2 linked regions of the Coturnix japonica genome follow. Each later gene encodes a partner of the first gene's protein in a complex. Links are inferred from orthologs where the notes say so. Each region holds a gene or a part of one and is shown on either strand. Other genes may lie near its edges.

Region 1 (2,292 bases):
ACCCTGTTCCACTATCTGTCTTTGGAAACAATGCATGGGATCTTTATAACCCCAACTCACAAGGAAGTCGCACGGCTCGGGGGCTCCATCCACCCTCAGTTAATTGAGAATTTCCATCGCTGCTGTCTGTCAATTCGTTCAGTTTTTCAGCAGTGCATGATGAAAGATGTAAGCTTTGTCTTCAGTTTTTCTCTCTATTTACATTCTCAATTTATTATTTCAATATTGTTTTCAGTTTTTTGTTTAAAAAGTTCACTGGCAGGCAGTTCTTTATGTTGTTGTTTAAAAGCACTGGACTCCTTTACTGCTATAGGTAGATTTTCTCTCTAAACATCCAACCATGTATGTGTATAACTACAGTTCAACCTGCCATGCCCTCAGAATAAATACTTGGTGAATTCAGTATGGTATTTTATTTTTCTGTTTGATTTTAGAGCTCTGTAACTCAGCACAAAATTCTCACACATTGGGTTGAAGTATAGGAAGTAGCAAGAGAAGGCTGTTGGATTCTTTTAGTCATATTAATCCTATAAGGAAATTTCAGACTGTAGGAAAAAGTAAATGGATGCCCTCTCTTTGCACAGAAAATGGTTGATATGAGCAGTGCCAGTGCTCCCCTTGCTGCCCTGACAGCGTGTCTGAGCACTGACCTGAAGAGAGCCTCTCTGAAGCTGAGGGAATGTTTGTTCTCAGCGCCTTTGTTCTCTGGGCTACCTGAGATTGCTTATACATTTGCCACCCACCAATGTCTCTGATAGTTTTCTCACACTGATATCTGTTTAGAACCTGGCTGGTTATAATGATCAATTCTTTTTAATTATGTTACCAAATAATCTCTTGGATTTCAGATTATGTGGGATGGCACAACAAGTGAGTTTTTTTCTCTTTAGAAAAAGTTTAAGCCTTGCTTGAACTCAAGACTGTACACGAGTCAGATTTTCTTAGATCCTTAAGTGATGGTCCAAGTGCATTAAATGAGAAATGCGAAAGAACAGTACAAATTGAATGAATGCCATTTGCAAGTATCAGTATTATTTTTCTCTGTGTTTTCTTGAAGTTACTGAAGAAGTTCTTTTTGGTTAGACTGATGTACCTCATAAATATTTCTTTTCTTTCTTCTTCTTTAAGTGTTAGGAAAAGCAGGTTAATTTGGAGGATTATTCTGTTAACGACATAAGATTCTGAGGTTTGGCTGAATAAGACATTGACAGTGGGTCTTCTGTTCTGGGCACTTTGGCAGGAGATCTGGAAACCCGAAAGCAAGCAGAGAGAATACACAAATATTTCCTCTGATCAAATTGCCTTTGGTTAAGTTTGTAGTTCAAACTAAAGATACCTGAGTAAACAAACCATTCAACTACTAAGTGTAGTTTGTAAAAAGTGAAGAATGTCTACTTAAAAGTGATAACTTCTGTTTTGGCAACAGCTGTATCCGCACATGGTTTTCTGGGTTTTTCAGGTGCGTGTCTTTATCATAAGCAGCAGCTGGGTTCATTGTGCCCTGAAAGTCAAAAATAATTGAACATGTGCTGCAGAACAAAGTTTCTTTTAGAGGAAAATCTGAGAAACCTATGGAAGCCAGCTTGTTAACTAAGAGTATTTTGACCACAGAAATCCAGGGTGGTTTTTCTTAGTTGGCTTCAACAGTTGATGCTGTAATTGCCGGGTTGTATTAGGGCATAAGGAGAATGTAAAAGAATGAATAGAACTTCTTTTGTGTTCATAGAACTCGACAAAAAGAAAAATAAAAGGCAAAAAATGTGCTATTGTACTGTTAATTCAAAGGAAGAGATGGGAGCTGTAGCTTTTTTAGCATACTTTGTTGTTAATGAAGCTGTTTTATCTCAGATGTCTTATTAAAGAGAATGCGGTTTGGATAGACCAAAAAAAAGCAAAAGAAGGGGGGCGCTTCTAAATGGTGTAACAGTATTAAAAATCCTGTTGATACTGAAGTAACAAAACTGAAGAAAAGAATCTCCTAAGCAAAATAGTTCTATCTTCTGTCTGGCTTATTGACAGCAATGTCATTCAGCAGCTTCCTGAAGGACGCATGCTAAAATTACATGTACTGACGTTTACATTAAAAAAATATATCTATCTGTACCAACACTTCCTCAACTGTTTTACAGAAAAAGAAGAAAGCGGGCAGTAAGATCTCAGAATTTAACAGTACGGATGAAGACTTAGGTCCTGTAAGAGAACATGGAGTTTTGTTTGAGTGCTCTCCCAAGAACTGGAATGATCAGAAGAAACCACCACCGACAATGAGTTACTGGGTTGTGGGGTGAGTTT
Region 2 (4,274 bases), on another chromosome or scaffold:
CTACATGGCAAAACAGATCAGGAAGTTACGAAGTTTAGTTAAAGAGTGATGTTAACCCATTATCTACCAGATGTAGGAATAAGAAAAATCTGTTGTCTGCTTACACAAGTGATGACCTTTGGATTACTAATTAAAGTTATAAAAGACCAGAATAAGCATTATTGCAGCTAAACTCGGCTGTTTGCCAAGTTGCCATCTTTGTTATTCTTGACCAACCAAGCAATCCCACCATGCCTGAGAATACTTAGTAGACAGCCTAACTAGATGCAGTGCCCTCAGAAGCTTGGAGCCTATGAATTAAGGCCAGGCTGGATGTGGCTCTGGGCAGCCTGGTCTGCTGGTTGGTGACCCTGCACACAGTAGGGGGTTGAAACTGGCTGATCATTGTGGTCCTTTTCAACCTAAGCCATTCTGTGATCCTATGAAACCCTCCCCTTGCTCCTCCAAAGGAACAGGGAGGCACTGACAGCAGATGTATCTGGGAACGTGGCAGACAGCATCAGCAGGAGGGGCAGAACTCCAAGGGGATTCTTTCCTTCAGCAGTGACCTTCAGGCTGGTGCCCCTGTTAACTTTTTCCATGTCATCCAGCTAACTGCAGTTGCATCAATAGACACAAGATTCTGTTTCAGAAGTTTAATGCTAATAGCAAATACATAGACAGAATGCTGGGGGGGGGGGGGATTGTAAGCAATGATGTTCCAATGAGTCTGAGCATTCAAGTACAGCTTTAAAGCAGCAGATCCATGGCAAGCAGTTTGGAAAGCTCACATGCGAAATGAAGTGCTCTGTTTTGTGGTGGCTCTTGAGAGTCCACGTCTCGAATAGAAACGAGAGTTGAGAAGCAGAATTGATGAGGTTTGGGGTGTTTTTTTTTTTTTTTTTTTTTTTTTTTGAAAAGCGTTGGAAAAAGTCATTTTTGGGGCACAGAAACACTTTTAATGCATATAGAAAAGTACTGGAAGTAAAGATTTGAGTAGCAGAGCGCGGAGGCCGCCTGTTACAGAGACAAGCGAGGGGTGCGAGCGGTGACCCCAACGACCTGGCCGCCCTTATAGCGAGCAGAGGTGCCGCCCCGCCCCGGCCCTGCGCCGTTTCTCCCTCAGGTCTCAGGCAGAGCCGCACGACGGGCCTGGACCCCAGCAAGGTCACCCCGCTGCCCCAGCGCCTTTATACGGCCCCAGGTACGGCGGGAAGGGCTCCGCCGCCATTTCGAGATCGCCTCCGACCGACGGAGCCCCGAGCACCGGCCCCTCCCCAGCCACCTCCCGCAGCCCCGAGCGTTGAACGGTACCGACCATGGCTGGGAGCGGCGGGCCGAGCTGCTGCCTCGAGGTCACCTCTACGGCTCGACTGCAACCGCCGCCGGCGTAGCGCTGAGGTACCGTGCAGGGGGCGGGGCGCGGCGCGGCGCGCAGCTGCATGGGAACTGTAGTTGCGAGTCACCCCGCCATGCGTTGTTGAGGGGGGCGGCCGAACTACAAGTCCCAGAGTGCCTCGGGGCACGCACGCTATTGGCGCCGTTGTCCGGCCGATTCATTGAACGCGTTCGCCTATAGAGCCGCCAGGGGGCGGTGAGCGGCTCTGCGATCTGCGCATGCGCTCCTGGAAGGCGGTTAGGCCTGGTGTTTTGCTTGCGCATGCGTTGAGCTCGAGAGCCGCGGGCCGTGCGCATGCGCGCCAGGGGAGCAGGCAGCAGCGGCTGGAGGGGAAGGAAGGACGGGACATCGCGCGTGGCTGCTGCGCGTGCGCAGGTAGCGGCGCTTCGGCCCCCGCCATGCCGCCCTGTGCTGCGGCCTTTGGGCGCTGCTCGGCACGCTGCTCGGGCCCGCCATCCCCGTCCTGCTCTCTGTGCTGCTGACACGCTACTCTGGTTGTGCCAGAACTCAGAGCCGGCCTGTGCTGTTGTGGGGCTGAGCTCTGTCAGCCCGAGCCTGCAGCCAGCTGCTGCCATAGCCACAGCAGGGTTGTTTCCTTCCTCAGGCCGGGACGAGGTTCTCACAGAACAAACCCTGTAATTGCACTCAGCCTGTAGGCTCACGTGCCCTGACATCTTTCAGCAGGATTAGTTGTTAATCCTGTTTTAGCCCCTTACAGGTGATTGTTTTAACACCTTGGGCAGCACGTAGACTGACTTATATTAGTCCTCAGAAATCAGTTACTCCTTTGGGGCAGTGATGTTAAGCGTAAACGTGAGCACACAGCACACAACGTGTTTGCAGTGTTTGCAGCCTTGTTGCTAATCGTCCTCATGCCACAATTCCAGGCTTCCCGTGCTTTGATCGAGACCGACCCTCTGACAGCTCTTGAAGTAGCTCCTGAAGCACTGAAAACAGCAGTCTCAGGGTTGAACAGGTATCGTTGTGCTGAGTTTGTTTTCAGTCTCATACTGCTCAATGCTGATCTGTACTGCTTAACAGCCATACACTCGTGCTGTGAATGCACATTGGACCTAAGTTTTAGGTCTCGGGTTCAATTTCAAAGCTAAATAGCCATGAATGAAAGCAGAGTCTGCCTTGTTGTGAGAGGTGCCTCATCAGTGCCAGGAAGCATGATGTCCAGACAGACCGTTCCAGAATATCCTTTACACCAGTAACTCTGACCTTTTTTGCATCCATGCATCATACAGACTTAATGAAGGTTATTTAAGATCTGTGTTTACCCAGGAGCTGATGTGGGCCCACGTGAGATGATTTTCACTAAGCATTATCAGTTGTCTTGGAGTTGATTGCATATCGGTTTTCAGTGAAATCAATATAAGCGTGTTATAAACTGATTTGTCTGCCAGCATAGCAGGTTATATTGGTTAAATGTATTTCAGTTAAGCTAGTTGCTGTTTCTTCTGTAGGTAAAGCTCTGTTTTCATTCTCCATCCTTTTCTGCCCAAGCTTGTGCTCCTTGGTTTACTGCTGGAGATAACATACCTAATATTGAAACTGATCTGTAATGAGTGTTTGTCAGTTTGTTTTAAATATGCTCCTGGTGTAATTAGTGACAGATAGAATAACACTGTTTTAAGTCTGCCCTGCCTTTTGTGATGTTTTAACTGAAGACAGCATTGAGGTTTTTCAAGTCAGCAAAACTTCATAACTCTGCAGTTCTTTTTTTTATTGGCTTAAATGGTGTTTCTCTTTGTTAGAGTATTTTTTGTCTTCCAAGCAAAATGTAACTGTACGAAACTAAACAAGGGAAATGAGAGATGCTTTCTTTTCTCCATCTCTTTTTTTTACATCTCTTTTCTGATGTTTATTAGCTTTTAAAATATATCTTCTGCTTCTGAGTGGAAACTCTTCTGGTGTTCTTGGCAGCATGTGCTGGTCCTCAGTTGTATTCCTCATGCTGTTAAATCATGTCACTGTTTTCAGATAGCTGGTGCTGCAGGGATCTATGAACAACATGCACTGTTTGAGTTTCTGCATTCTCAATCTGTGCTCTCTTTTGTCCTCAAGACGTGTGCTGTATTTGTTATATTTGCTGACATATTTGCTTTCACGCCTTCTCAGAGTAACAGAGAAATTCTTTCTAAATTTAATGCTGTTTTTCTTGTCAATTTTTTTTTCACAGTCTTCAGATTTCCTTGTGGGATTTTTCTTTATTGTCTCAGAATATTCTTGCTGCTTTTACATCTCCTGTTGCCATTATTTCCGAGACAGTGAGATGTTGGTGTCATTTTCTAACATTCTTTAGTGCACCTCACGTGTTTTATTAGTGTATGTCTTTTGTGTAGGGCTGTAAGCCAAAGAGCTGCAGAAGTGGAAACAAATTAAGTGCAAAAGAAGTAATGAACCTTCAGTGTGCAATGCAGATCAGGCATTCAGCTAGTTGTTGAAATGCAATTTACAGATGTTGCACTCAGTAGAAACAAGTAACATAGAAATTGTTGTAATTAAACAACACAATTAATACTCAAGCTGTTTTGATCTCTGTCTTGTGATGATTAAGTATTACTTTTCAAGGCATCTAGTAGTTCAATAGCCTACTCTACCAGAATAATTCCCGTTTTCTGTTGTTGAGGGGTTTTTTTCTCCTAAATTCTAAGTTAAAATGAATGATTCTCTTAATAGTTGGCAGTGTTCTGTAACTATACTTTGGATCAGCTTTTCTTCACTGCTATCTATAGAAATTGCTGAATTATTTTTGGTAAGATTTTACACCCAATTTCCAATGATTTGTGGAGGTAATACAGTTTTTCTAACGCTTGCTTACAGAAAATGTATCTAAAGCAAAAGTAATTCTTGAAATATTTAAGAACTTGTAAAAAAAAAAATAAAAATT

Evidence for each region.
Region 2: the proteins of INTU (region 1) and WDPCP are in contact, whole or in part, in a cryo-EM structure (PDB 7Q3E), measured with the Mus musculus proteins. The link is inferred for Coturnix japonica from reciprocal best matches to the Homo sapiens genes INTU and WDPCP. Residues at the interface, in NP_780724.3 of Mus musculus: Val481, Gln484, Val488, Asp491, Ser495, Asp496, Glu498, Ala499, Ala500, Asp501, Ser506, Glu507, Asp508, Arg513, Arg514, Thr517, Ser532, His533, Leu534, Pro535, His574, Tyr593, Glu610, Gly613, Cys614, Ala615, Ser616, Lys617, Ser653, Pro654; in NP_663400.2 of Mus musculus: Phe3, Cys4, Leu5, Ile24, Leu51, Ser54, Arg55, Asp56, Lys93, Leu385, Ala386, Glu387, Asp388, Tyr389, Ile427, Lys446, Leu447, Gly448, Ile449, Leu450, Thr451, Arg452, Gly453, Leu455, Leu462, Gln463, Ile465, His466, Tyr467, Gln487.

What each region holds. Positions count from the first base shown.
Region 1 is NC_029519.1:30,260,566-30,262,857, forward strand, and holds part of INTU (protein inturned), read left to right. Parts: coding exon 1-168; intron 169-2,129; coding exon 2,130-2,284; intron 2,285-2,292. UniProt on the Homo sapiens protein: Plays a key role in ciliogenesis and embryonic development.
Region 2 is NC_029518.1:1,963,561-1,967,834, forward strand, and holds the start of WDPCP (WD repeat-containing and planar cell polarity effector protein fritz homolog), read left to right. Parts: upstream 1-1,474; 5' UTR 1,475-1,672; coding exon 1,673-1,753; intron 1,754-1,759; exon of another isoform or gene 1,760-2,096; intron 2,097-2,265; coding exon 2,266-2,354; intron 2,355-4,274. Other genes in the region: MDH1 (malate dehydrogenase, cytoplasmic), read right to left, coding at 1,298-1,423. UniProt on the Homo sapiens protein: Probable effector of the planar cell polarity signaling pathway which regulates the septin cytoskeleton in both ciliogenesis and collective cell movements.